Diceros bicornis minor: one gene and its partners. The protein of the gene in region 3 interacts with the protein of the main gene of each other region in a pairwise test. Links are inferred from orthologs where the notes say so. Each region holds a gene or a part of one and is shown on either strand. Other genes may lie near its edges.

Evidence for each region.
Region 1: the proteins of PSME3 (region 3) and EAF1 interact in binary tests that used the Homo sapiens proteins (3 or more experiments, as listed by UniProt). The two-hybrid records come from large-scale screens. The link is inferred for Diceros bicornis minor from reciprocal best matches to the Homo sapiens genes PSME3 and EAF1.
Region 2: the proteins of PSME3 (region 3) and EAF2 interact in binary tests that used the Homo sapiens proteins (3 or more experiments, as listed by UniProt). The two-hybrid records come from large-scale screens. The link is inferred for Diceros bicornis minor from reciprocal best matches to the Homo sapiens genes PSME3 and EAF2.
Region 4: the proteins of PSME3 (region 3) and PRR13 interact in binary tests that used the Homo sapiens proteins (3 or more experiments, as listed by UniProt). The two-hybrid records come from large-scale screens. The link is inferred for Diceros bicornis minor from reciprocal best matches to the Homo sapiens genes PSME3 and PRR13.

What each region holds. Positions count from the first base shown.
Region 1 is NC_080741.1:21,906,008-21,913,877, forward strand, and holds the start of EAF1 (ELL-associated factor 1), read left to right. Parts: upstream 1-4,869; 5' UTR 4,870-4,874; coding exon 4,875-5,244; intron 5,245-7,137; coding exon 7,138-7,232; intron 7,233-7,870. Other genes in the region: tRNA N(3)-methylcytidine methyltransferase METTL6, read right to left, coding at 2,477-2,611, 3,620-3,844. UniProt on the Homo sapiens protein: Acts as a transcriptional transactivator of ELL and ELL2 elongation activities.
Region 2 is NC_080754.1:22,795,667-22,803,291, forward strand, and holds the start of EAF2 (ELL-associated factor 2), read left to right. Parts: upstream 1-4,612; 5' UTR 4,613-4,670; coding exon 4,671-4,779; intron 4,780-7,625. UniProt on the Homo sapiens protein: Acts as a transcriptional transactivator of TCEA1 elongation activity. Acts as a transcriptional transactivator of ELL and ELL2 elongation activities. Potent inducer of apoptosis in prostatic and non-prostatic cell lines.
Region 3 is NC_080757.1:41,840,004-41,847,756, reverse strand, and holds the start of PSME3 (proteasome activator complex subunit 3), read right to left. Parts: upstream 3,011-7,753; 5' UTR 2,585-3,010; coding exon 2,510-2,584; intron 2,408-2,509; coding exon 2,375-2,407; intron 2,255-2,374; coding exon 2,192-2,254; intron 1,993-2,191; coding exon 1,888-1,992; intron 974-1,887; coding exon 925-973; intron 1-924. UniProt on the Homo sapiens protein: Subunit of the 11S REG-gamma (also called PA28-gamma) proteasome regulator, a doughnut-shaped homoheptamer which associates with the proteasome. 11S REG-gamma activates the trypsin-like catalytic subunit of the proteasome but inhibits the chymotrypsin-like and postglutamyl-preferring (PGPH) subunits.
Region 4 is NC_080756.1:16,847,876-16,854,981, reverse strand, and holds the start of PRR13 (proline-rich protein 13), read left to right. Parts: upstream 1-4,101; 5' UTR 4,102-4,321; intron 4,322-4,327; exon of another isoform or gene 4,328-4,437; intron 4,438-4,479; exon of another isoform or gene 4,480-4,755; intron 4,756-4,927; 5' UTR 4,928-4,947; coding exon 4,948-4,966; intron 4,967-5,346; coding exon 5,347-5,681; intron 5,682-7,034; coding exon 7,035-7,073; 3' UTR 7,074-7,106. UniProt on the Homo sapiens protein: Negatively regulates TSP1 expression at the level of transcription. This down-regulation was shown to reduce taxane-induced apoptosis.

The DNA of each region.
Region 1 (7,870 bases), on a different chromosome or scaffold from region 3:
TAAAAACCAAAAACATAGTAACAGAGATGAAGAATGCTTTTTTTTTTTTTTTTGGTGAGGAGATCAGCCCTGAGCTAACATCCACCAATCCTCCTCTTTTTTTTTGCTGAGGAAGACGGCCCTGGGCTAACATCCGTGCCCATCTTCCTCCACTTTATATGGGACGCCGCCACAGCATGGCTTACCAAGCAGTGCGTCGGTGCGCGCCCGGGATCCGAACCAGCGAACCCCGGGCCGCCGCAGCGGAGCGCGCGCACTTAACCGCTTGCGCCACCGGGCCGGCCCCCAAGAATGCTTTTGACAGGCTCATCAACAGGAATGCCTACTGTCTGAGATGGGATCAGTGAACTTGACGGTAGGACAACAGAAATTATACAAACTGAACATGCAAGGAGAAAAAAAAGTTAAAAAACAGAAACCAAAACCCAGCATCCAAGAGCTGTGGGACAATAGCAAATGGTATAACATACACATAATTGGAATCCCAGAAGGAGAAAGGAGAACAAGAGCTGAAGAAATATTTGAAGAAATAATGACGAAAACTTTTCCAGATTAATTAAAAAAAATAACCAAATTATAAAAAAAAAAAAATAGGTGACTATTGAACTTCTAAACAAGACATAAAGCCTCAGCATCTCAAAAGGAATAGATAGACAAATGTGACATAATCAAATCCTGTCATACAACAATACCATAAAACAACGCTGAATAAACTGGAAGAAACATTTGCAACAAATATAACAGAATATGCAGAATATATCCTAAAAATTAGAAAAAAAATGACAGAAAAATGGACAACAGTTATGAACAGACAATTCCTACTATAATATAAGTTCCACATGAGTGGGAGTTTTTGTCTGTTTTATTCACTACTTAACCCCAGGGCTCAGAACAGTGACTGGCACATATTAGGCTCTTGATAAATATACGTGGAATAAAGGAACTCACAAGCGGAAGAAAAACCAATGCTTATTTACATATTACAGTCTTCAACATCACTGGTTATAAGGAATAAACAAATTAAAATATGGAGACATTATTTTTTGTCCATAGGTTTGAGAGATATAAAAAAGACTGGTATCAAAACGTTGAGGGCATAGAAAAAGAGGTATCTTTACATAATTGATGAAATTACAAATTGGTATAACTTTCTGGAAGGAAACTTGACTATCTATTAAAATTTAAATGTGTATGCTCTTTCTCCAAAGAATTCTACTTCTTCTATTATTCGCCATACAGAAGTGTATACATATGTTTTGGGGAGCATGTGTATGATGCTAATTACACTAACCCTAATTGTAAGAGCAAAAAATTAGCAATGATTTACACAAGTATCAACAGGGTAATTGTTAAAGTATGGTATATCCATTATATGGTGCACCACAGCAGGTAAATAAAATGTGGTAGACCTACATGTGCTAAGATGGAAAAACTCTGTGAGATATAATACAGAGTGAAGAAAGTTATAGTACAATGTGACACTACTACTAAAAAAAAAAGTCTAATGGATGTTAAAACTGCAAAAAGTTGATAGAAAACTAAATATTTGCACGTTGCCAAAGTGTCCCCCACATATTTGCTAATGGCAAAAGGGAAATATTTGTACAAGGAAGGAATTAGGTAGTTATTACCTTAACCCAGTGATCAAAATTAGCACCACTTACAGTAAGATCACCAGACATTATTGCCTCCTGACAGAATGTAATATGGAAGACACAACATCATTTATTAAAGTATTTTTGCCAAAAATATTTCAACTGATTTAAATCTAACTTCTACTTTTCAGGAAGTACAGAGGATAGAGGAACAAGTTAAACAATGATACAAAGAAACAATCAGACCAAATTGGAATGTGGGACCTCATTATAGAAGATGGCTTGCTCTCCAAAAACTCAAAGTCAGTGGGGGAAAGATCAAGGGGTAGGGAAGGAATGTTTTAGGCTGAGGAGATTTAAGGTACACAATGAAGTGTAAGATGTAGTCCTTGATTAAATACAGCTATAAAAGACACCTGGGACTACTTTGGGAAATCTGAATCTGGACTGGATATTAATGACATCAGGGGATTAGAGTTACTTTGGTTAGATATGATAAGTGTATTGTGGTGATGTAGAAAAAGTTCTTATTTTTTTGAAGATGTATGCAGACATATTTAGGAGTGAAGCATCTTGACATCTGTAATTTAAAATAGTTCAGCAAAGAAACAAGTCTGTAGAACAAATGTGGCAAAATGCTGGCAATCATTAAATCTGGGTATAAGTGTATGGGTGTTGTTATGGTATTTCTTTCCACTTTCCTGAATAAAGCTGTATTTCTATATGTACTATACGTATGTAAACAGGAAAACTATATTCATGGTGATCATAGCTGGTTAGCTTCAGGGAGAGGACTGGAACTGGGCAAATGGGTAAAGAGGGCAGGTCAAACAAATCCAAGAAAATAGAAACATAACAGAAAACATGGATGGTGCACCCACCTTAACATATTCAACTGCTCTTGGAGAAAAATCACAGGCATAGGCAAAGATATTCGGATCTTCTTCCAAAAGTGGGAATAAACAGTTCCCAACCCCACAGCCAGCTTCAAGCATAGTCAATTTTTGATCTTCAAACTGAGGAAAGAGAATCCAAAGTTTCAGTATACTACATTTGCCTAAGGAAGAAACAAACCAAACTAAAAGGTTAAGAACATGAGAGACAAGGTCTCTGCCCTCAGGGAGCGGAGAACAAACAACTGAACTAACAACCAAAAGTTAATACTGATACTTCATCTATTGTCCAACATTCAGCAGTGTGGTATGGAGAAAACAGCATAACAGCTAACAGCACTGGCTCTGGGGCAAAACTGCCTTCACTCAAATCCCAACTCCTCCCCACGCACCACCCCTAACGCTGGACAAATCACTTAAACAGCTTTGCGCCTCAATTTCCTCTCAAGTGGGGATAATACCAATGCCTACTTCAGTGCTATTATAAGGCTTAAATTACAGAACACATGTAAAGTTCTAGAAAAGGGCCATGGTAAAGTGTTCCTCATCATCTTATTGTTATGAATCTGAATCTGTCACTGAAGTCACTCAGTATGAATTACTATTTACAGCTTGCAGATTAGATTTTGAGAAGTTTTGTTTTTTGCTGGGAAAGATTCGCCCTGAACTAACATCTGTTGCCAATCTTCCTCTTTTTTTTTGTTTTCCCCTCCCCAAAGCCCCAGTACATAGTTGTATATTCTAGTTGTAAATCCTTCTAGTTCTATTCTAGTAATCCATCTGTCAGCATGGCTACTGACAGATGGGTGGTGTTAGGTCTGCGCTCCAGAGAACGGAACCTGGGGCGCCAAAGAGTGCATCGAACTTGAACCACTATGCTGTCAGGGCTGGCTCAGATTAGATTTTAAAGAAATGGAAAATGCCCACTAAAGTTCTGTCTCCGATGTATTAACAACCCAGGAACCGCTAACAATACTTGAGACCACACAGTATATTTCTCTCTAAGGTACAAAGCATTTCGACAGGCTTCATAAATTCTCTACTTTACACTCCCCATAGGAAAGCAATAAAGCACCTCTCTAACACACATTTTAAATGAAGAACAGCAAATAAGACGTAATATTGGCTTACCTCTCTACATGATCTGAGCTCCTCAAACTCTCTGGTGGTCCAGTGTCTATCTTTGAAGAAATTAGTACTATTTCTTTTGTAAAAAAGGTCCCAGTTCTTCTGAGCCTCTTTTTCCAGTTTTTGTTGTTTAAAATCAGACACTAAAGCTTGGTCTCTTTTCAGTTTCTCCTCTTCTTCAGAACTGAGGATCCTTGCCTGCAGCCCTTTCTTTTGCGAAGAAGCCATCTCATACGTTGACAGTAATACAGTCAACGCTGCTGAAGATTCTCCATCCCTGAACAACCGGAGGAGTCCAAGTTGATACTGCAGACACAAGCAGGGTTTTCTCGAATTCGGTTCCCCAGGTTGCGTTCACGCCTCAGGCAGCATCACGTCCTTCCAGGAAAAAGAACGAGATTCTGGTTAGTGGTTCTAGACCAGTTCTTTCACCAAACAGTTCAACTCGCCCAACACTCACTACATGCTGACTCTACACCAAACTCTGCCCGCTATACAAGGAGAGGTCACAAAGAGGGCCCAGACACGGTCCCTGCTTTCAGAGGGTTTACATGCAGCGGCCAGAACAATCAGGGACCAAACTCTAATTCAAGCCAGCTTGAGTCAACTATTAGAAGAAATCGGTTTCGTTTAGAAAAAGGACACTCCCAAGAGTTGACTGAGAAATCTTGGGGAGAAAAGACTCATCAATTTTCGTGAAAGGGGTGGCTTAACAACCACAACAGCTGCCTGAACCGGAGGCGGGTGGTCGCCTGCCAAACACAAGTGGGTCATCGTTTCCCAAGGCTGGGAGACTCCTTTTTTCCTGGGAAGATGGAGCGGAGCCCCGGGGGTCGGAGCCCCTGATCGCACCCACAGGGGGCTCGCGCGAACCAGACGGGGCGTCGCTTTCCAGGGACTGAGCCCTCGCAGCGCCGGCACGGCGCGAAGGGGAGAAAGAGACCCAGCGACGCGGGCGTAGAGTCCCAAGAATCCACCGTCTTAGGACACTGGGGATAGACTGGGCCGCCCGGGCCGCCGGGGCCTGCGGAGAGCCGGCCGTCCCGGCTCTCGGCCCCGCGCTGGTCTGCTCCGCCGCGCTCCGGGCTCACCGTCATCAGTTCCCAGCTTCACCCAGAGGGCAGGGCCGGGCGCACTCAGCCTCAGCCCGCCCCGGCCTCGGACGCCGAGCCGGGGGGGCCGCCGCGGGAAACCCCCGACCCGGGACAGCCAGCCTTGAGACCCTCGACCTGAGAGTCTCGGGCTGGATTCTGTTGTCATGGCACCGCCCCCGCCACTTCCGCTACGAACCCAGAAGTCCCTCCCCGGCGCCGGAAGTACCGCCGCCTCGCTTCCTCAGAGTCTTCTCCCACCCCGACGCGGAGGGACCGGCTGGCTTCCGGCCCCGGGTGGGCGCCGGCTCGGCTCCCCTTACGCTCCGGAGCGGTGTCCCGGGAGCACCGTCCTGCCGGACGCCGGCGCCGGAAGCTCGGGCCGCGGCCGCGCCTGGGGAGCGCCGGTGCGGGCGCGAGGCGGGTGCGGGGCCATGAACGGGACCGCGAACCCGCTGCTGGACCGCGAGGAGCACTGCCTGCTGCTCGGGGAGAGCTTCGAGAAGCGGCCGCGGGCCTCCTTCCACACCATCCGCTGTAAGTCTGCGCGCCCCGCCGTTCCCTGCCCCCGCTCCGGCCGCCTCTGCCAGCCTCGCTCCCTCCTCTCTGCCCTCGGCCCGTCGGAGCCCAGGGACCCCTGCCCGCGTCGGCTCCCTGCTCCCGACCCCGGCTCCTCCGGGACCTCGGTTTTCTCCCTTTTTTTCTAGCTTTCTCCTCCCAAACCAAACCCTTCGTCTCTCCCAACACCTCTTCTGCCTCGTGGTCCCAAACGCTTTTTCCGAGGGTCATTGGCCCCTTTCTCTTCATCCCCCCACCCAGGCCTTCCTTGTGCCCAACCTTCCCCCTCTTTATTACCGGAAGCCTGTGACCCCGCATCAGACTCAAGTTCTTCTCTCTCTGATCCTCTCCGCGTTCGGATTACCCACCAGGGTTCTCCACATGTAAAGGACTCCTGTTTGCTCGTGAGCCTCATCCACTTCCTCCTATTCCATTCTCTCCTTGCCATTTGCCTCAGCTTTCCTTCCTCGTGCGTCTTAGTTCTGGCCACCCTGACCCTGCGCTGCATCCCCTCTGCAGCCAGAGTCGGCATCCTCTCTGCGCCCAGCAGTCCTCCTCCGTCTGCGTTCCCTGCCTCTTTTGAGGTCGCCTGTACTACCCTGACTTTTCCTCTGGACCAAGTCTCTTGTGTGAAGAATAAAATTAGAATTTGTGAGCCTAGAGTAAGTTAAAGCTTGCTCTATGTTTGGAGGCAGAAGAGAGCACGCGTAAGGAATGTCAAGCTAGTCATTACGCTGAACCTTCTTTTTCTACATGATTAGAGACTGTTGAGGGAGGGCACTTCCACTCTGTCCTGGGTAAAGACTTGGCTGTTAGGAATTGGCTGACTGAGCATCCGTCTGTGATTCACAAGCTCTTGCTTCCCCGTCTTGGTAGCTGTAATGCTGGGTGAGACTTGTTTTAGTCAAAGGAGCTAATAGATGTGACTCAACACCTTGGAAGAGGGCGTGTTAGATAATGAAGTTCCATCTTTGTATGGTCACTTGCCACGCCATTACTTTGCTTCTTACTGACAGCAGATCAGCTCTTTAAGAGGGAGGATGTTGGGAATGTGATAAGAGCATCATCTCCTGAGCAGTTTACTAAGTTGATGTTTTAGTAGGGTAAAGGGCAATGTGGAATTTAAATGAGACTTCACATATGCACCTGGCCTTCAGTTTGAGGCAGGTGTGTGTTAAAATGGAGTAAGATGGCTATTCATGTTGTACTTTAACTGCAATTCAGCAACATGGGCAGGATTTAACCCTTGGAGATACAGTTCAACTGTCTGCTCCAGACATCTGCAGGACGTAGCATTTGTTAAAGCTATGGAACTTGACTGTGGCAAATCCTAACTTTGACACTTCTGTGCAAAATGAAGTCACTTATATGATGCTGTGGCCTTTCATATTTCATATAGGGTTTTACTATTACAGAATCCTTTTGATATGCTCAGTTTCTTTTGATCCTCACAACAACCCTAATAAAACACCTTATTATGGATAATAAGGCATCAATTTTCATCTATCACTTGGGAGAGGAGAATGTCTTTGCTTAATAAAATGGTATATAAATTTTAGCTTTTTTTTTCCTTCAAAAGAATCCAGTGAGGATGGAGGAAAAGTATGTGGAGGTATAGATGAAATAAGATTGTCCCTGAGTTGGTAATTATTGAAGCTGGGTGATGGTACACAGGGGCTCATTGTACTCTTCTCTCTGCTTTTGCATATGTGAAGTTCTGCACAATGCAATAGTTTGTAATAAATTCTAAATTATTAGTACTTTCCATTTACCTGAGTAATAAAAAAATTTTAACTCTTAAAGTGAGTATGCCCAGGAAGCCCTTAGTATAAGTAACCTGGTAAATAAATGCTTTTATTCCTTTCTCTTCAGATGACTTTAAACCAGCATCTATAGACACTTCCTGTGAAGGAGAGCTTCAGGTTGGCAAAGGAGATGAAGTGACAATTACGCTGCCACATATCCCTGTAAGTTTATTCCTTCGTTGTTGTTGTTTTGTGAGGAAGATCAGCCCTGAGCTAACACCTGATGCCAATCCTCCTCTTTTTTTCTGAGGAAGACTGACCCTGAGCTAACATCCGTGCCCCTCTTCCTCCACTTTATATGGGACGCCGCCACGGCATGGCTTGACAAGCGGTGCCTCGGTGCGCGCCCAGGATCTGAACCGGCGAACCCCGGACCGCCGCAGCGGAGTGCCCGCACTTAACCACTTGCGCCACCGCGCCGGCCCCTGTTGTTGTTGTTTTTAATGTGGCATCACAGTGAATCCTCGTGTTCTGTTATCGCAATTTGAATTTCCACTATTTAAAAATTTCTAGATTTCAAAGTGCCAACATAAGGAAAAAAAGAATTTTGGGGATAGGGTGAGATGGAATTTATGGTTCCCAGGTGCTTGAGTGAAAAATGATTCTTTGCCATTTTCCGCAAGCTCCCTTTTGCCCCATTTGCTACAAAGTAGCCAAGGTTCCTATCAGGACACCTAGCCCCTCCTTTAGATGTGCGTAGCTTTTCCCCCAAGCAGCTCCTAGAGCCCTAGGTGCCATGTTGACGTATAGCAACAACAGTTTAGAAATCTGGGGCAGCCAAGCCAGAGTGAAGGCAGGCA
Region 2 (7,625 bases), on a different chromosome or scaffold from region 3:
TTTTCATTTCTTCCTTACAGAAAACTCTTGTTTTTCTAACTAGTGTACCTCTAAAAGAGCTAGAGACCCTTATACCTTACAGTAACAGTTACAGTGTTATTTATTATTCACTCATTAAGAGTCAGGAACTGTGTTTGGTGCTTCACATGCACTCTCTCTAGTCGGCACAACAATCCTAGAACAGGAATTTTCTTTTATCATAAGAGAGAAACTGTGCAGAAAAGAGCTAACACAGGCCTGAGACTGCTATCCTTTCAAACAGCTCCTTACAAGATTGCCCTTGGCTGGTGTCTAGGAACTTGGATTTCAGGAGGGTTTCCACCATTCCCTAATAAGAGTGGTTCACTGTGCTTAAACTGTTTGTAAAAACAATGTGGTTTATGATGAACACCTGCTTTCCTTCCCGAAATTTGGAATGGTACATAACAGCAGAGGATGCCTACATGACCATCCTCCAATAAAGACTCTGGTCACTGAACCCCTAGTGTGCTTCCCTGGTAGACAACACTTCAACATGTTGTCACAATTCATTGCAGGAGGAATTAAGCGTGTCTTATGTGATCCCACTGGGAGAGGACTCTTGGAAGTCTGCATCTCTTTTCCTCTGGCTTTTGCCCCATGTGCCTTTTCCCTTGCTGATTTTGCTATGTATTCTTTCACTGTAATAAATCACAGCTGTGAATGACTACATATCCTGAGAACTGTGAGCCCTTCTAGCAAATCACTGAAACTGGGGTTGGTCTTGGGGATTTCCAACACGAAACTCAGAAATGTTATGTAATTATAAGATAACCAAAGCTTGCTTATAAACAGCATAGTGAATAAAATCAATTATATTAAAATAAAAAAAAATCCACATCCTGATTCAGTTTGTTTCTAAAACTTTTCTTTATAAAAAGTTTTAATTTAAGGCATTCAAAGCTCAAAATGTCATCATTTAAAAAAAGCATAATCTTTACCTATAATTAATAAAAGCTAACATACATTAAGTGTTTACTATGAACTAAGCACTGTGCTAAGTGCTTCTACATGCATTATCTTATTTAATCCTAACAGGACTATGAGGTAGAGCCTATAATCATCTCCATTTTACAGGTAAGAAAAATAAAGCTCGAAGAAGTTGACAAACTTGTTCTGGTTCCAACTGCATGTGGTAGAGTCAGTAATCAAATTCAGATCAGTCTGACTTCAAAGTCTGTGGTTTTCATTACAATGTTCATTATATTCCCTCCCATGTAAAACAGTAAAAAACACAAAACATATTCCCAAGTGACCTACTTCTAACTCACTTTTTTATCTATTATTCTTCATAACTGGCACCACAGCCCATCCTTTATATTGACGAGTTGGCCTAATACATGCATCCAAAAATCATCCCTTATTAGGTAAAATATAAATCATTAAAAAACAAGTTTTCTGGAAATATTTTAAAGAAAGCCCAGCACAACTCTTGGCACATAGTAGGCATATAACTTTCCAAGAGACTACATAGAGAGTTATCTCATTCTTTCGAATGGCTGCATTCTGCTATGCTTCCTTTGTTAAGAGTGTATCAAAATGTATTTAAACATCCTGTCTACTGGAAGTCATTCACAGTGTACACTATCACAAGCAATGCTGCAATGAATATCAATGTACATGTGTTTAGGCACTCATGCTAGTACTGGTAGAGTGAATTTCCCTTGAAGTTGGATGGCTTGGTCACAGGATATATCTTTAAAATTTTGATTAGATGATACCAAATTTTTCTCTAAAATGGGTGTTCTAATTTATACTTCCACCAACAATGTATGAGGGTGCTCATTTTACTATAAGTTTACTAATACATAATATGTTCTTCTACATTTTTGCTAATCCACTAGATGAAAAATGGTATCATCTTGTTTTAATTTGTATTTCTTTGATTATTAGTAGGTTAGGCACATTTCATGTTCCCTGGCCATTTCTTCTTTCATATATTTTCTATTCATATCTCTTAACAATTTTTCTATCAGCTTGTCTTATTCTTTCACAGAAGCTTTAATCTATTCATACAGGGATATGAACTCTTTATCCTTTATATTGGCTATAAACACTTTCTCCTTGTCTGTCATATAATTTTTTAAGTTTGATTATAGTGGCTTTACCATAGTTTTACAAATTTTTTATAGTCAAGTATAACAATCTTTACCTCTATGGCTTCTGCCTTTGGTGTCATGCTTAGAAAGGTTCTCCCTACCCTAAGTGCTAATATATATTCTCCTAATTTTTTCTAGTGTTTTTATAGTTTTGTTTTACTTACCTTCATTTACTTATATCTTTATTTATATCTTCAATACACATGTAAGTTATTTTTGTGAATGGTGTAAGAAATCTAAATTTTTTCAAGTTAGATGAGGTTACAGATTGGTGAAAAAAGAACAAATGCACATAGCTGTCAGAAATTCCTAAGGTAATTTCTCATGAAGAGATATAATAGAAGCAATCTGAAATGTCACTTGGGCATATTTTTAGAATCTATTTAGTTCATTAATCTATTTGTTTATTTCTGGGCTAGTACAACAGAATTCATTTTAATATATGTTTAGAGAAAATTCATACTAGAAAGTAAGCTTCACAAGGGCAGAATTCATACCATCCTTGGTTGTCTTCTTATCTCTCTGGTTCACTACTACATTCCCAGAGGCTAGACTAGTGCCTGGCCTGTGGTAGGTACTTAATAAATACATGTTGGAAGAATGAATAATTGCACAAACTTTGAGCATTCCAAAACTCAATTTCCTGACCCTCTGCTTTTCTCCTTGTCACAAAATGGAAACCTCAGATTTCTGATTGGAAGCCTTTTTAAGGTAAAATCGACTTGAAACACTGTTCTTGCTCTCTGGCTAACATAATGAAACATCACTGAAATATTGTCATTATCACCACATGTGTGTAGGGCACTATGTTAGATGCAAGCGTCACAAAGATTTTATATAGGACAGATGCCCTGCTCATGTTCTGGTTGGGAAAGAAAAGTATACACACACACATATATACATATATGTAAAATAATTATATAAAAAGCGTTACGTGCCAAATAGATGACACAGACAATAAGAATACAAACCACAGAGTTGGTGGACTGGGCATCCCTGAACGAGTTTTCTTAGCTGTAAAGTAAACAAAATAGCAATTCCTACCTCCTAGAATAATTCAAGATTTAGAAGAGAAGGCAGCCACCACGGATGGTCCTAAAATGTTGCATGAGAGCAGAGTTAAGCCTCAATAATAACCATTTGGAAAGCTTTTACTATATGCCATGAACTGTTTTAAACGCTTTCATGTATTAACTCATTTAACCCTCTCACCAACTCTCAGGTATAAGTACTATTATTTTTCCCCCAGTTTTAATGACGAGCATACTTAACTTTGGTTTGCACAAGTCACACTATACAGTATGAAGCTGAGGTTCAAGTCCAAAAATTCTGGCTCCAGAAGCTGAGCGCTTAACTACCACATGAAACAGAGTACCCCTTAAAAGAGCAGAATTAAGACAAGCAGAGAGGTTGCGGGAGACACATCCATCTACCCGCCTGGAACGATAAACCGACAAATCTGGCTAAGGCAGAAGGTCAGTGAAGGAGTAGAGTCTGATCACATAACTACCCTGAAAGACCGCCACCTGATATGGCAACGATTTGTAAACTTTCTCATGGGCGCTTCTCCTCTAATACAGCACTTCTCTCCTCTTTACCATTGAACTCACGAACTTTTGACAGAGAAAAAAGACAATTAGTTTTCAACTATTAAAGCTATTACCCTGTTGCCAGAGCACGAGCTCGATCCTCTGGGAACCTCGTCTTCCCGGCCTCCACGGATCACCGCCGTTACCGCCGCCGCGGATCACTGTGAAGGAAATAAATAAAAGAAGCAACCCGATGCAATCGACTTGCAACTGATCCTAAACATCTGCAGTTCCTAACTCCGAATCATTTTTTCCTCTCCCTCCCGGTCCCCTGTCCCGGTCCTGACACCACCGGGAACTTCCGCTGGGACAGAAGGTCAGAAAACGATTGCTGAGGTAACGGCGTCGCCTCCAGTCAGGTCCAAGGACCGAGGCTCCGAGGCCGCGGGGTCTTTTACTCGGCATTCTAGACCCAGCTCTGGCGCTACCAGGCCTTGGGCAAGACGCCAGGCCTTGTGCCCAGACTCCGCCCCTCCCCGGGCCTCAGTTTCCACACCAGATCTCCACAGAAAGGGCGTGGAGCACGCCGATTCTCCCGTTAAGAGCCCCTACGTGCCGGGTCAGTTGGCCCAGAAACCTTGGGGTGCCGGCCTGCCGCTATCCCGGGGCCCTCTCCTTCCCCAGCCGCCAACTTCGGACGGTCACCTCATGCTCGCTCGGCGTTCCTCCACCAAAGCACCCCGCTCCCACCACCCACCTCCCTTGCGCGGCTTCCCGGGACGGCGTGCGTCGCAACGCGGGAATGGGCCTGGAGGCGGGACCACGATCCTCGGAGCCAAGGGGCGGGGCGCCACTAGCCAGGCAACCAATCGCACGCGAGAAGCGCCCGGTGGGGCCGCGCGCGTCGGGCGGGGGGCGGAGTCCGTGGTGGCTGGGCGGGCCGCAACAAGTGCAGCTGGTTCAGGCTGAGGTGGCAGATGGTAGCGAGCGGCGCGAGTGGAGGCCAAGTCGGAGCCCGAGCATAATGATGAATGGAACAGGGGGACGCCCGCGCATTGACAGTCGCGAGCGGGTTCTCAAGTTAGGCGAGAGTTTCGAGAAGTATCCGCGCTGCGCCTTCCACACTGTGCGCTGTGAGTGAGGATGACCCCGGGGAAAGAGGGGGAGCTCTGGGTATGGGGGTGTGAAGGCACAGACCTCTCTGAGCTGTGTTCCCACAGACCTCCTTCCTCTGCTGGAGAATGGGGTGCCAGCGCGATCCGCTGCCCTCCGTGAGGTCCTAGAAGGTCAGTGGAAGGAGCCGGAGTCGAGCAGGTGTGGGTAAACCCTGGGCAGAGAGATTCAAGTGAGACCAACAGGCAGAAAAGGAAACTTTGTGGACAGGGTCTGCATGGGTGACTGTGGAGACAGGCGTGACTGGTGGATGATGCAGAGGTGGAAAGGAAAATAATGTGGCAAATGGAAGAGAGCAAAGAACCCAACTATTATGCAGGGGGCAGAGAATGCCTGGGGCTGGTGGGGAAATATTCTCTCCCTTCTTCACTTTTTCTGTCTCTGGCTGATGAGGTTCTTATTTAGTGTGTTCCTGGGGTGAGATTCTGAACCATTCTGATCTGTATCTCTTTTGGACCCCTGATTTCATTCAGTCACTTATCAAATACTGATTATCAAAGTGTTGGAGGGTGTGTCTTTAATTTCTTCATTAAAAAGATACTTAACCTCCCTATGATTTCTTTTGATTTTCTCTTGGTTGTCCTCTGGGACTAGTTTTGATAAATTATTCTTTTTTGTGTTGTTGAGGTGGAAAAGGGAGCTCTTTTGCTTTAATAGTTGGATGGTGTAGATTCCAGGAAGGAAAATGTAGCATATTATGATTTGGCATGTAAAACATTCCTTCTTTGCATAATAGCCCTCATAGAATTATAGAGCGGAAAGGAAACTCTGAGGTCATTGAATCATAACCTCTTATTTTTCTGTGGCAAAATTGTGAAGTAGGTAGTTTTTCACTTCCTTTCCCCAGCCCTGCCATTCCTTTGTGTCTCATCATTCCACCTTTCTCAGTCATTCTGCCCTTAGACTGTCCACAGATCTCTATGGTTTTTATTCGGAAGTGTTCCACGCTTCCATCAAAACACCCAATTAAAACTCACATTCTCCAAAAGTTTACTTAAGTTTTAGATAATCTAATGATAGTAACTCACAGTAAAGGTATGAAGAACCAATAGGTTGAACTTTCCAAGGATATATTTACATTTTATAAAAGGGTTTTATTAAGCAAAATTAATATCCAATTGGTAGAATAAATGAGGGAGGTATTTGCAAACAGAAGATCTTCAACAGTGTCTCTGGTTTATTCTTCTTTATCTAACTCTCATCCAAGGATCCCCACAGTGAGACAGCTAGTGCTGGCTGTGCAGTTTCTCTCCTTCAGTCCCATTTTCCAAAAGTATGATATAGTTCTTATCTGGTTTCTCCATGCCTTTCTCTCAAATAATATCTCCTCTCTCCTTTCCTCTTCTTTCTCAGGTATGCAGTAGTTTTAGTATTAATTTTTCAAGTTACAAACTTTAAGATTATAAAAATTTCTCAGAGGCCGACCCAGTTGCGTAGTGGTTAAGTTCGCGTACCCCACTTCGGCGACCCAGGGTTCGCCAGTTTGGATCCCGGACGTGGACCTACACACTGCTCATCAAGCCATGCTGTGGCAGCGTCCCACATACAAAATAGAGGGAGATTGGCACAGGTGTTAGCTCAGGGGCAATCTTCCCCACCAAAAAAAAAAAAATTTGCTCAAGAATATATTTTCATATAACTCAGGTATATATTCTCTTTTTAAGGGCATGAACCCCAAATTAAGTGAATTAAAAAAAGCCTTTGAAAAACACTTGGCAGGTGCTTCAGAACCTTTCATTTATAAAAGTTCTCAAAATGCTGGAATTGTGTCTTCAGAGTCAGAGAATCAGATGATCCAACTACAAGAATGAAAATAAACAAAAATAAGCAAAACAACAGCAGTAATAACAACCACAATAAACCCAGAGGTTTGAATACACTCTTAGTCCTGTGGAAGACATTAGAAAGGTTTTCAGGCCTTAGTTTTATTCTTATTGTTGAAGCAGGCAGAATATTTCTAAATTTATTTAAATAATACTAGTCATTATCCTTGAGGATAGGTTCATTTCCCATATGATCCTCACTCTTAAGGACTCAGAGTGAGGGATGGAAACGATAGAATAGGAAATCTGACTTTCATACAGAGCAGATGGACCTAATTTATAACAAACACTGAAGTCAATGTAATCTGCAAGGAAGTAAAATTCTATCTTTATGTATAGAGGTAAAGACTGTCCAATATGCTGAGGCTTTGAAAAAACCTGAATGTGAATTCTGGCCTCCACCACCTATATATGTAGTGTAACTTTGGAAACATTCTCTAAGCTCTCAACCTCAGTTTTCTTATATGTAAAATGATAATAATAATATCAACATTTCAAAGTTTTTAAGGATTAAATAACATAGCAGAAACAACCTAGCACAGTATTTGGTGCATGGTAGAGAATAAATAGTAGTTACCATTATTCTTGAAGGGTTATATTCATGTGTATATGAGGAGTGCCAATGAATGTAATTTACTTAGACTTCCAAAAAGCATTTATCAGGGCTTGGCGATAAAACCTGTCAAAAAGATAGCTAGCATGTGGTAGGGAAGACATGGGATGTTCTATAAATGATAAGCTAAATGCTTAGCAACAAATGTTTCACTGGGTAGAAGAGTTTGAGTAACAGGACCCACTAGAATAAATTTTCGATTTGGGCTAGTGCTAGTTTTACAATTTATATGCAGATAAAGGAATAAATGTTGAAATTCTTAAGTTTGTAAATGACACCACTTTTTGCTGTCATGAAATGATGAACTCATGGGCAGTGAGTACAGGAAGGCTGTCTGAGGTGTCAAGTGGAGCCACTCCCCAAAAGGTGG
Region 3 (7,753 bases):
CAGGACACAGCATCCCCCACCCTTCTCTCTTCTTCCCCAGACCTGTGAGATGCTATGACCTCTGCCTTTTTTTTTTTTTTTTTAATTTTTATTTTTTTCCCCCAAAGCCCCAGTAGATAGTTGTATGTCATAGATGCACATCCTTCTAGTTGCTGTACGTGGGACGTGGCCTCAGCATGGCCGGAGAAGCGGTGCGTCGGTGCGCGCCCGGGATCCGAACCCGGGCCGCCAGCAGCGGAGTGCACGCACTTAACGGCTAAGCCATGGGGCCGGCCCAAGATTTGTTATAAGTAGTCTTGTTTTTTTTTTTTTTGCTGAGAAAGACTGGCCCTGGGCTAACATCCGTGCCCATCTTCCTCCACTTTATATGGGATGCCACCACAGCATGGCTTGCCAAGCAGTGCGTCGGTGCACGCCCGGGATCCGAACCGGCGCACCCCAGGCCACTGCAGCAGAGTGCGCACACTTAACCGCTTGCGCCACCAAGCCGGCCCCTGACTTCTGCCTTTTATCTATCACAACCCTATCTACAAACCATGACACCACCACAGAATTAAAAACAGAGAATGTATGGATTAACAAATGAGTGTCCAAGGTATGCCAAAGGTCTGAAGAATAAGGAAATTAAAATATGCTCTAAAGATTTAATACACCAATCATTATTGAAGAGGAAAAAATAACATGGAATTGGAACTTCTGTGAAAGATCTGCAGTGTGTAGCCATCTCCAATCTCTCTCCCTTGGCAGTCCACACTAAATCAAATCCTTCTTGTTTATTGGAAAATTAGGTTTAGAGTGCTAAACAATGACCATGTTATGAGAACTTGGGAATGCTAACACTGGGAAATAAAATAAGATCCTGCTTCCTGGCCAGCAGAACACCAGATCCATCCTGCAAACTAGGGAGTAGGGGTTGGCTCTTACCTTGGAAGGCCTCTTCACATTCATCCAACCTTCGCTTCTTGTAAGTGGGCTAAGGATACAGAAAGACAGGAATTAGCCTGCTCTCAACATCCACGTCCCCATCACAAGTTACCTTTTAGCAAGTTTAATCCCTTCCTCAACCCCACAGGTTGTCTTATTAATTGACGCACAATTTACTAAGCACATACAAGGCTTTAAGAAAAGGTCCTTGCCACAAAGCAACTTACACTCTAGTAGGAAGACCAAGCTTTCAAGAAATATAACACAGTAAGCATATAGCGGAGGGGGTGGATACTATAAACAATAGGAAAAATGAACCATTCAATGCAGGGTGCGGATAATTAAGGGAATATGTACAAATCTGCTGGTTCCACAAAGAAACACAATATTCAGTTAACAAATGTATTGAGCATCTGCTATGTACCAGCAACAATGTTAGGTGCTGGGGATACTAAGATGATTAAGACAGTTTCTGCTTTCCACAATTACAAGTTCTATCAATGAGACAGTAATGCAGACAAAAGACAATACAGTGTCATCAGTGTTATAAGAAAATGTGGATATATAACTGATAAGGATTAGGTGCTGAAGATACACAGCAAAGACAGAGACTGCAGTTATATAGCAAGAACTACTCACCCCATAACAAGACTCCAGACATTGAAACAGGTAAGAAAAGTCTTACTTAGAGCCAGGGGGACAGACCAGATAACCTGAGGGAACCTGCAGCTATTAGTCCTATTTGAAACCCACTCTAACACGGAGTAGTATTAGCATATTCACCTCATGCTAGAAATGAAAGTCAGGGTGTAAAGGGGGTGTACTGTAGTCATCATGTCTCTAAAAGTCCTCGTTCTCAGATTCAAATCCCACTGTCCCCTCTGCACATGCTCAAACTGACCAGGAAATAGAGGACAGAGAACCTATTGCTTCAGGACACAAAGATAAATATAGGACGCTTACACCGTCCAGTCCATCGTGACTATTGGTGAGAAGAATGGGGTCAGGAACTGGGAGATTCATGTCTGAGTGGATCTGAGTTAGGTCATGGATGTTTAGGATTGGTTCCTGAAAGAGAGACACCCACCCCCAAAACAAACATTAGTCTTTTCAAGATGAACAAAGAAGTATTTCATTTGAAGGGCAAGAAATGAGAATGCTTTACAGTACAAAACAAAACAGAACCAACACATCATTTGTCCCATTTGACAGAAAGACCAGGGCCAAAAAAATTAGGGAATTTGAGGAAAAGAAAAGGGTCTCTCACCTTCAAAAAACTATCAAGTTCTAACAACTTCTTTGGGAAAAAGTTTGCCACCAAGTCTTCTGCCTAAAGATGAGGGGAAATACAGTTAAATTAATAATTGTGGGAAGGTCCCTCTCTGATATCTCTTCTTTTGGAAAGTCCCAACTATTAACCAACACTCATTTTTCTATTTATTTCACTCACCTCACTTGTGATCCGCTCCCTGAAAGAATCAACCTAAAATTAACAAAGAGAGCAATTCAATAAAAGCAAGTCAATACCTGGCAACAGAAGTAAGGGCTGGAGTGGGAAACCCAAATCCGGCTGTCTTTCCCTCACCTTGTAACTATAATTAGAAGCTGAAAGGCCCCCAGACTGCAAATACTTTATTTTTTTGAGGATCCATTTCTCCATCTCAGGAGAGGGAAGCAGGGCTTTGAAGGCAGCACCCACCTGTCTTCCCTCCCTCTCTCCCTGTGTCTGAATTTGAGAGCAGACAAAAGACAGGTAGCTAAGGGAGGTGTGACCTCACAAACGTGCCAACCCCCACCCAAACCTGGCCTACGATATCAGGCAGGCCTGACGCCAAGGGCAGGGGCAGCGTCTGGCGGCGGCGATGTTGCTAGGCTCGGGGACTTCCAGCTGTCACTAGTCTAGAGCACTGAGTCCACCACGTGTTCGCAGAGGTCTCCCCGGGGCTCTCCACCACCAAACGGGATACAGAAGACCACCCTATTTTATCCTCTCCACCGATGGCGTCTCCGGGAGTGGGGGGCTGGGCTGAGCAGAGCGGAAGCTCAGAGCTGGTGTCCCCAGGGAGATAAAGACTTCCCAGGGAGTGGGGAGGCGGTCAGACTGCTCGGCATCGAAGCGAGGGGTAAGGAGGCCCGGACCGGTGCCGCTACCTTGAGCTTCACTTCCTGATCCACCTTCAGCAACGAGGCCATGGCCGGGCCGGGCCGTGTCCGTTCCGCTGGAGACCGGAGGCGCTGTGGGCTCCGGGGACACGGTCAGAGGGACGGCAGGAATCTCGGCTGCTCTCGGGACGCGGCCGCCCTCGTTGGCTTCCTCACTGCTGACTCCGTTCCTCCGTGCCGCCCGCCCGCTGCCTGCTGGCTCTCTCGCTCGCCCTCCCGGCTTTCGCCGCTCACGCCGGAAGTTACGTCACAGCCAATCGCCGGGACTCCGGCGAGGATGCGCACGTGCCGTGCGCAGCCGCGCTGAGTTTCGGCTCCGGACGCTGTGGGCCCGGCTTATGTCTCCCTGGCTCTAGTTCCCAGGAGGAGTGAGGTAAGAGGGAGGGCGGCGGAGGGTGCTTTACTGAGAACTGAGCCTCACAGACTCGAGCGCTCGCCTTCACCGAGGGAACCTTTTGAGCCGCGGCCGCCTTGACAGTACCGACGACGCCGTCGCGCACCGGTGACGTCGGCCCGAGGAAGACGGCGGTCGCGGCGCTGGGTTCAGGGGGTCTAGTCTGCGATTCCTGCAGCCGCTTCCTGTTGGCCGAAACTCTAGTGTTAGGATAAAGCCAAACAGAAGACAAGTTGTATTGTACCAGACTTCCCCACCTTTTTCCGCCACTTATTCTCATACACTTCCAGACCTCAGAGATCAACTGCCTGATGGGCAGATTGACGCCCAGAGTTGGGTAGTGCTTGTCTAAGGCTACACAGTGTTTCCAGTAAATCCTGGACCAGAGCCCCAATCTCCTGACTTCGAGGACAATGCTGTATCCCTTTCCTAATGGAATGCAGAGACTATCTCTTCACTCACCCATTCATTGGGTCTGTCTCTTAACGTTGATTATTTCGCTTAATAAAATGGGCCAGGACCGTCCCGGAGTCTAGAAATATAATGTGAGTCACTTACGTAAGTTAAAATCATCTAGTAGCCACATTAAAAAATAAAACAGGTGAAATTTATTTTGATCATGTTTATAACCCAGTTTATCCAAATACTATCATTTCAACGTGTAATCAATATAAAAAATATTAATGAGATCTTGTGCGTTCTTTTCTCATATCATATCAAGTCTTTGAAATCTGGTATGAATTTTACACTTACTGCACATCTCAATTCAGAGGCATCACATTTGCAGTACTCTAGAGCCACATGTGGCTAGTGGCTCCTGTATTGAACAGCACAGCTCTGGGAAATCAAAGATGAAAAAGACTCAAATTGTCTGGTCTCATGGGTCTTAATACTGGAGAAAGGCACCAGAAAGTAAACCTTCAACATAATTGCAAAATTTGATAAATGTTAGGAAACAAATGACTGATGTAGAGAGTACTAGGAATCTATTTTAGATAGAATGGCCAAGGAAGTCCTCTCAATGAAGTTAAGCTGAAATCTAAAGGATATAAAAGAGCTAGCTTGGGAAGAGTGAGGGGAAGAGCCTTGGGAAGATGCAGCACAGGCAGATGCCCTGGGGAAGGAAACATGTCCTGTTGAAGAAGTTGAAAAACTGGTTAGTGAGCTAGGGCTGGGGGTGGGAGTGGGAATGGGGTGGGGAGGGTTGTTAGGAAATAACTTTGATTAAGTGCAAAGGCAGGTCATCTGATTTACATTTTGGGGTCACTCTTGTGGCTGAACACTTGTCCTGGGCAGGCCTCTGTGCTAAGAGCAAGGGATATGGTGGGAATACACAGTTAAATGAAGTGCGACTGACTATGGCCTTTGGAATCAGAGAGACCTGGCTTCAGATCCCACCTCAGCTTCTTATTGTGATATCTTGGAAAAATACTGAAATACTGAGTCTCAATTCCCTCATCTGTAAAATAGAATTTTAATCATTGTTAGTAAATAATATGTAATTCTGTAGCGTTGTTGTGACTACTGGAAATCATATATATGTAAAAGAACTAGCACAGTGCCTGGACACAAGGAAGGCACTAGATAAATAGTAGCCATTGTCGGATAAGCTACCTGTTAGTGCTTAGCATGAGGAGGTTACTCCTTAAACTACGTAATTATCATCATCCCTGCTTTCAAACTCAAAGCACTTTTCCACTTATTCAAGGCTGCATACAACATAGCCTATACTACCCATCTTGCTCATTAACGTGTAACGGTTTTCCCCCTTTTACCTCTGCTTTCTGTTAACATTGTCCCTAGTAACTTTTGAACTCTGATCTGGAACTTAACTTCAGGAATGCTTTCCCAAATTAACTTCATCCTATTTTAAGTATGCCATTATCCTTCATTTCTTTCAGAATTAGTAACTTCAACTTGAAAACTTAATGTGTTTGCGCTTGTTGAAATATGGCTTTGTTCTTAAATAATCATGTTTTGTCTCCCTCAAGTAAGTTGTAAGAAGACAGATACACATTCCTTCTTTATTTCTCTTCCTCCTCCCCATCCAAACATTTTATATAATACTCCACTCATTTGTTTATTTATTTATTCAGTGAACAATTGCTGAGGGCACCACTATATTTAATAAACTTTATTCATTCCAGGGTGCTTATGAATCAAAATGTGATCACTGATGACTAGTCTCATTTATTTATTTGTTTATTTTTTTGGTGAGGAAGATCAGCCTTGAGCTAGCATCCATTGCCAATCCTCCTGTTTTTGCTGAGGAAATTAGCCCTGAGCTAACATCTGTGCCAATATTCCTCTATTTTGTATATGGGATGAGGCCACAGCACGGCTTGATGAGCAGTGCGTAGGTCCGTGCCTGGGATCCAAACCTGTGCACCCTGGGCCACCCAAGTGGAGTGCACAAACTTAACTACTATGCCACCAGGCTGGCCCCATGGTCTCACTTTAAATGCATGTCCACAAATCTCAGATGGGTGCACAACGCTGCCTGGGAGCCTACTACATGTTCCTGACAAGTTTACTCTCCCAGATTCAAAATGACTATCATATGTTCTCATCTTCCTAAACCTCCAGTATCCCTCCCCTCTCACCTCTAGTTTATGGTCTTGGCTCATTCTTCATTGAGAAAACAGAAGTAAATGAGAACTTCATCTCGCCACCAAATCTGCTAGCTTGCAATTACTTTCTGCCTTTCGTCCTCTTTCATTGAAGGAAACATCTCTGTTCCCATCAAAACTCAACTCTTCCTTTTGTGCATTGGATCCCATCCCCTTTCACCTTCTAAAAGTCTGTGCTCCAGTGATTATCTATTCTCTTTACTATATTACATTTATCCCTGTCTACTGGATCATTTCCAAACATGACAGATATTTTCCATCTTGAGGAAAACCCACCCTTGAACCCAGGTTCCTCTCTAGCTATCGCTCCATGTTTGTGCTCTTCTTCATGGCAAGACTTCTTGAATGATATTGTCTCTTACTCTGTTCCTCATCTCCTGTTTACTTCAATCCACTCCAATCAGGCTTTCCCACCCCCTGTTCTCACTGAGGTAATTCTCGTTAGGTTACCAATGACTTCCATGTTGACAGCACCAGCGGTCAACTCTCTTCATCTTACTTGAACCTCTCAGTGGCACTCAACACGTTAACCATCCCTGTTCTTAAAACATACACAGCAACCTGTTCTTCCAATTTTCCTCTAACTTCAGTGGTGACTTCTCTGTTTCCTTTGCCGGCTCTTCCTCCATTGCTCCACTTCTTAATGATGGCATGCTCCAGGGCTCAGTCTTATGTCCTTTATTCTTCTCCACTTACACTTTCTTCCTAAGAGTTATCACCTGTGTTCATAGCTTTTAATACCGTCTGTATGCTGATGGCCTTAAATTGATATCTCCAGTCCTGACATCTTCACTGAGCTCTGTCTATTTGATATCTCTACTTACACAGTTAATAGGCCTCTCAAACATAACGTGGCCAAATCAGAATTCTTGATTCTGCTACACAGCTGTTATTTTCCTGCTCTGCCCCATCTCAGTTACCAATGCAACTGTCCACCGACTTGTTCAAACCAAACACATCAACCTTGATTCCTCTCTTTCCCTTATCTCCCCACGTTCAATCCATCAGCGGGTCCTGTCAGCTTTACCTGTATAATGAATCCCATATAAGTATGCTTTTCTCCATCTCCTCTCTTGGTATCCTAGTCAAAGCCACTGTCATCCTTCGCTAGGACTATTACAATAGACTCCTCTCTGGTCTCTCCCTTTTCACTCTTGCCACCCCCTACCTCCCCCCCACAGTCTAGTCTCTACTCAGCACCCAAGATTTAATTATCTTTTAATATGTCAACCACAAGAATGGCAGTATCTACTAAAGCCGAATAAATAGGGCCGGCCCTGTGGCTTAGTGGTTAAGTGCCCGCGCTCCGCTACTGGCGGCCTGGGTTCGGATCCCGGGCGCGCACTGACGCACCGCTTCTCCGGCCATGCTGAGGCCACGTCCTATATACAGCAACTAGAAGGATGTGCAGCTATGACATACAACTATCTACTGGGGCTTTGGGGGAAAAAAGTAAAATAAATAAAATAAAAAAAAAAGCTGAATAAATTATATGTGTATATATATATATATGTATGTATATATATCTGTGACCCAGAAATCCTGACTCTAGGAACAAATTTTTTTTTTTTTAATTTTATTTATTTATTTTTCCCCCTGCTTCTCACCCTCAATGGTTTCCCAGCTAACAGAGGCCCTCCTG
Region 4 (7,106 bases), on a different chromosome or scaffold from region 3:
AGTATAGTTCTTAATATTAATGAGAACGATGATAGTAATACATACTGCCATATAATAAGTGCTTATTATGTTACAAATACATGATTATCTCATCACAACCACCCTATGAGGTAGGTACCAGCACCACTGTTGTATAGATGAGGAAACTGATGGTCCAAGAGGTTAAATAACTTATTCAAGATCACACAATAAGTGGCAAAGCCAGGATTTGAATCCAGTCTGACTGACTCCAGAACCACCATGCTCTGTTCTTCTTTGTCTATTCGTTTATTCATTCATTCATTCATGTAGTTATTCATTCAACAATTTATTCACTGATACTCTCCTGTGTATTAGGCACTGTGTGAACAGTTAAGTGTTAATGAACACAGTCCTTGCTTTCAAGAAGCTTATAGTCTAATGTAGGAAGCTGACATTAGTCAAGTAATTACTGATTCTTGTATAATTATAAACTGAGATAGGTGTGCTAAAGGAAAGGCAAGATTGTGCCAGAGACTACAACAAAGGAACCTCACCTGACTAGGGTGTCAAGGAGGCTTCCCTGAAGAAGTGATCCTGAAGCTGAGAGCTGATAAATGAGCAGGAATTAATTAGGCAAAGTAGAGAGAGATGGGGAGAACATTCCAGGCTGAAGGGACAGTAAGTGCAAAGGCCCTCCTGCAAAAGTAACCAAGATCTGGAGGGAGGAAAGAAGCCTGGGGGCTGGAGGGCAGAAAGCCAGGGGTGAGCAGTGTGAGAGGAGACCAAAGATGGAGCAGGGCCAGACTACCACAGACACTCCAGTATGTAAAAAGATTTTGAGTATTTCTTTGTTGGACGAGTTAGGGGAAACAGACGCTCATATATTGCTGGTGAGAATGTAAATAAATATAACCTCTACGGAAGGTAATTCATCAATATCTATAAAAAGTAAAAATATGTAAAATGACATATATATATGGTTACTTATTGCAACACTGTTTTTAATAGCAGATTAAAAATAACACGAATATCGATTGACTGGTTAAATTGATTCTGGTATGTACATTATTAAAAAGAATAAAATGCAGTTGTGAAAAAGACTGATGGCACACTCTATGTACTGATACGGAAATAGCTCCAAGATATATTAAGTGGGGGAAAACATTGCAAATTAAACTCTGCATAATTTGCTGTTTTTATATTTAAAAGAGGGGATGTAAATTTATGTCAGTATTTTCTTGATTGTAAGGAAGAAATACTGTGGAAGTATATGTAACAAACTAAATACAGGGGTTATGTGGGTTGGGGGAGGCTGGATAGATGAAGAATAAGAGTGAGAGGGAAATTTCATTTTCCACCTCTTTACCCTTTTTGGTTTTAAAATCATGTGAACATATTACCTACTCAACAAAAATTAATATATACATGTAAAAATAGTTTTGATCTTTGTCTTAAGGATAATGCAAAGCCATTGAAGAATTTGAAGCAGTAAGGTGAAGTAAGCAAGTAAGCAGATTTGGCTTTAGAAAAAAATTTCCCAGGTTGCAATGTGAAGAATGAATTGGAAGAAGGCCAGAGTGGATGCTGACAGAACTGTTAAGAGATCATTGTCAAGTACAATGAGACACCATTTCACATCCACTGAGATGGCTATATCAACAAAGACAGACAGTAACAAGTGTTGGCACAGATGTGGAGAAACTGGAACTCTTGTACATTGCTGGTGGGAATGTAAAATGGTGTAGCTATTTTGGAAAATAGTCTGGCAGTTCCTTAAAAAGTTATACACAGAGTTACCATATGACCCAGCAGTTCCTCTCATAGGTACATACCCAATAGAATTGAAAACATAGTCACAAAAAAACTTGTACATGAATGTTCATAGCAGCAATATTCATAATAGGCAAAAAGTAAAAACATTTCAAATGTCCATCAACTGATGAATAGATAAACAAAATGTGGTATATCCACACAGTAGCATATTATTCAGCGCTTCATAAAGAGGAATGAAGTACTGACTCATACTACAACATGAATGAACCTTGAAAATATTATGCTAAGTGAAAGAAGCCAGTCACAAAAGGCCACATATTGTACAATTTTTGATTTATACAAAATGTCTAGAATAGGCAAATGTTTAGACAGAATGTTGATTAGTGGTTGCTTAGGGCTTGGGTGGGGTGGGGGAGAGGTAGGGAGAGGAATGAGGATTGACTGCCAATGGGCGTGAGATTTTTTTAGGGGGAACAAAAATGTTCTAAAATTAGATAATGGTGATGGTTGCACTACGCTTTGAATATGCTAAAAACCACTGAATTGTACACTTTATTTATTTATTTTGGTGAAGAAGATTGACCCTGAGCTAACATCTGTGCCCATCTTCCTCTCTTTAGTTTATGGGAGGCTGCCACAGCGTGGCTTGATGAGTGGTGCGTATGTCCACACCGAGATCTGAACCAGGGAACTCCTCACCTCCAAAGCAGAGTGCGCCAACTTAACCACTACGCCACCAGGCTGGCCCCTGAATTGTACACTTTAAATGGCTGAATTGTATGGCATATGAACTACATCTCAATAAAGCTGCTTTAAAAAAAGAAATAGTTCAGGGCCGCCGGGGGCGGGTGTGTGTAGTGGTTGAGTTCACGGGCTGCGCTTCAGTGGCTTCCGGTTTGCAGGTTCGGATCCCAGGGGCAGGCCTATGCACCGCTCATCAAGCCATGCTGTAGTGCTGTCGCATATGCAGAATAGAGGAAGATGGGCACAGATGTTAGCTCAGGGCCAATCTCCCGAAGCAAAAAGAGGAAGATTAGCAACGGACGTTAGCTCATGGCCAATCTCCCACACCAAAAAAAAAAAAAAAAGAAGTTTAAAATATCTAACTTCTAAAAGACATCATGCCCATATGGACACATCAATAATTTCTTTCAAACTCAATAATCTTTCAAGAAAGAAATAATGTGGATATAAATTGCCCGAGATCTTAAAAAAACAGAAAATATTCCAATTCATCTCAAATATTCAGCATAAACCTGATATAAAAATATATCAAAACACACTATGGTTGTGTAAGACATTATCATTGGGGGAAGCTAGGTAAAGGGTACATGGGAATTCTATCATTTTTGCAACTTCTTGTGAGTCTAAAATTATTTCATAATAAAAAGTATTTAAAAAATCTATCAAAGTCTTTAGTTTAAGATGACTAACTCAGTATAAAATTTATCTTCATATTTATTGTATCCCACAAATTTGGGATGTAAGTTTTTCATTATGGCTTAGTCCAAAGTATTTAATTTCCATCGTGGTTTATTCTTTGACCCATAGTTATTTGGAAGACTTTTTGTTGGTTTTTTAAATTTCCAGATGTATGTTTGTATTTATATTTTACATTGTCGTCAGAGAATACGGTATGTATTACACAATTCTTTGAATTTTGAATTATATTAGTTGAGACCAATTTTTATAAATGTTCTAAGAAGAATGAGTATTTTTTAAGTTTTGGGTCCATGGTTCTATATATATTCATTGAACCAAGCTTGTTAATTGTGTTATTTAAAAAAAGAGGCCATTGTAGCAACCCGGACGAGAGATGACAGTGGGTTGGGAGCTGGGAAGATGGAGAGGAGCGGAGGGATTCCAGATTTATTTGCGGACAAAACAGGCACTTCGTGGTGTTGGAGAGGAAGGGGGGAAAGATGAAGGAGAGAGCCATCCAGGACGACTTCCTTGGTTTCTTGGTTTTTGGTTTATGCAATTCGGACAGAGCGCTGAGCTATGCAATTAAGATAGGCAATCCTAGGAGAGATTAGGAAATCTTCTCTGTAGTATTTGCGTCAAGAATGTTTCTTTACTTCCTCCGGGGACTAGGAGGGAGGCTGCAATATTGAGGCTTGGTGCTGCGACTTAGCAGCTCCCCGCCCTTCCCTAAGCGCTCTGTATACATCTGTATTATAATACTGATCACGGTGTATTCACATACCAAGGTTTGCACGCACTGGGCTAGGAGACGAGAGGGCAGGGGCTGAGTTTCTCCACAGCAGCTCAGGAACTTTGCCCACAAACTGGTTCCGCCCTCCCCTGCCCGTCTCTCCGAGCCCCGCCCCCGAGGAATTCCGGCCCACCTGCTCCTCCGCACCAGCCTCTCCCTAAAGTGCTCCGCCCCGCCCCTACTGCAACCGTTGCCTTCTAGCCTAGTGGGGACTAGAGTTATTGATGAGTGTGTTATCCAATCATCACGCCGAATGACCACGTAATTCCCAACTAGGCGGTAGCAGAGGCGGGTGCCGAAGCCTTGGATAGGGGTGACCAGGAAGCAAGAGCAGACACCGAGAAGGACGAGTCGAGCCCAGGAGGTGTAAAGGTGACGGGGCTTCTGGATTCCCCCGTTTCCCCATTTCTGGGTCAGGGGTCCCTTCGCAGCTGGGAGCCAGGATCTCCATTTGCCCTTTTTAACGGGGAAGGGGTGTGTCTACATATGTAGGCGTTTGAGGATCTTTCCTGAGCCACCTTCCTGCTTTCGCTTGGGGGTGGGTCCTTCTCTTAGCGTGGGGTGGGGGTCCTACCCCCTGTCTCCCTCCCCGGGGGCGGTAGAGTTGTTTAAGATCCTCCTTAGCCTGTGGGTGGTTGAAGTCTTCTGGACTCAGTCACGGCAAGGGAGATGAGAGCGGGGGTAGCGAGATTCGCGGACTCGGCCCCTCTCCGGAGGAGTTAGAGACCTCCAGCTGCGGCCAGAGGTGCTGGAAGGTGGAGGGGCCCTGGGAGCTGGCTTCCTGTGGTTAGGGAACTAGCAATAAAGTAGGTATTGAGGGCGAGGGAGCGAGTGAGAAGAAACATTTCTTCTGTGGGTGTCGTGGTAGTTCTCTGGGACCCTGCTGTAGGGGCGGAGGCCTTGGGGTGGGGCTCGGTCTCTAAATCCTCTTCCCACCTCTGGGCCGTCAGCTTTTGGCCTTCATTTCTTTCTCATCAGGCTGCAAGAAACACCTGAACATGTGGAATCCCAATGCCGGTAAGTGTTTGGGGGTCTCTTCTCCCACCCTAACCCCTTTTCAGATGGGCCACACAACAGGAAGTTTGTGTCGGTTTTTCCTCCCCCTCTCCAGCCTCACCCGCAAAAGCAAAGTCCTTCGACCATAGCTGCCCCAGTGCTCTCGTCTTTGCTTAGAGCTCACTGTCTCCCTGTCTCACCAGCCCTGCCAGGGACCTTACCTTTTCTCTCTCCTAGGCAGGTTTGTCTCCCCTACCCTCCGTTCTCCTTCCTCGCCTTTCTATTTCCCTTTCAGGACGCGTTGAGTGAGAAGCGTAATCCTGTTTTTGTTGTTGTTATTGTTTGTTGTCAGAGGCTCTGGGCAGTTCTAACCTTATTTTATTCTTTGCTTCCTCCACTAGGGCCAAATCCACATCCCCCTAACATCAGAGGCCCTGGAGGTCCCCATCCTCCCCCTCCACCACATGTCAATCCTGCCTTTCCTCCAGGCCCCCCTCCCTCCGGACCTCCCCCCGGGAATCCAGCTTTCCCCCCACCTGGGCCCCCTCCTCCTGGGCCACAACCAGGGTATCCAGGATGCCAACCCTCAGGTCCCTACCCCCCTCCATTCCCACCACCTGGCCCTGGCATGCCTCCTTTCAATCCCTTGGCTCCCGGAATGGTGATGGACAAGAAGATGCGGAAGAAAATGAAGAAAGCTCATAAAAAGGCGCACAAACACCACAGGCATGGCAAGGTGAGTGCCCTCTGGAGCCCGGTGGGGAAGGAGTGCCCCCTCAGAGGGACTAGGCAGACAGGGGGTGGCCGAGGGGGATTCGCAGTCTGAGGACACAGGATAGGGATTATGTTGCTCTGGTAGATGGTGCTTCCTCTTTGTAAAGGATTCCCACTGGGAAGAATCTGATAATCTTGAAAAGAAATGTTAGGCTAATTGGGCCCTCTATTTTGGAGGGACGAGGCTGAGCCTTAGAACAAATTTCAGAATCAAAAGCCTTTCTTATCTGCCTTTCTCTCTCCCAGAACTTTTGCCCCCACATCCCCAGATGCATGTTTTAGCAAGTTGGGCACTCCCACTGAGGTGGTCAAAATGTCAATTAATAGGGTCAGTCCTTTGACAAAGCAAAGTCTTATATAATAATTAACAGATAATAATCTGGCTCGAGTTCCATAGAGTTCCTTTCTCTCCAGTGCTCTCAGGGTATTGTTTTCATTATGGGGGTCTTTTTGTCTTACTACCCAGCAGGGAAACTGAGGACAAAAGCAGTCAGTGACTCAGCCTCAGACAAAGCCTGAGTTTCATTCCCAGCCCTAAGGCTCAGTATCTTCATTCTAGAGGAGTGTTAATTAGCAAGGGTAAAAGGAGCTCCCAGGATAACTCTGGAAGGATTGAACCAACCTGGATCTTGAGGAGGCCTTAATTTACATTTTACTGCCTAGTATTTATTTGCTTTATGGCTTTGGGTGCTAGTTCCTGGTTCTGGATCTTTGGTAGAAGTCTGAGGAGAAGGACCAATTGAATGGGGGAGAAATTACCCTGGAGAGACTCAAAAATGTTTTTAATGACAGTTGTGGCTGGGAGTATGCATGTAAAGAACCTTGACTAGGATTCTCCCAGCCTTCTCTCCCACCTTCCTCATTTCTTCCAGTTGGGGCTTAGGAAAAAGTAAGAGATAGATGCAGACGACACAGGTGCTGATTCTACTCACTTTTCTTAGATTCATAGCCACCAGGAACTTTTCATGCAGCTAATCAATAAGCATTTATAAGGTAGTGGCAGTTTCCTAGCACTCTACTATGCTTGTGCATATAATTTATTCCTTGCCTAGGCACTGGCTCAGGTAAAGAACATTGGAAACTTGCTCCAAATGCAGTATGTTAAATTCTGTGCGATGGTTTAATCCATCCCTGTATGCTCACTGCTGAAGGAGATCCTTGCTTTTGCTCTTTAAGGGACGGTCTGGGTCAAGATTCCTGACTTTCTTAGATAGCAAACACTTGGGTGGAGGGGTGGGGCATCAAAGAATGTCCCATGGAGTGATCAAAGGTCACTTGGATCTGATGCTGTCTCCTTTCCCGTTTCCCCTTGCAGCATTCCTCCTCCTCCTCCTCCAGCAGTGACTCTGATTGAACCCAGGGCCTGGACCCTTCCCTCAAGTCTCTC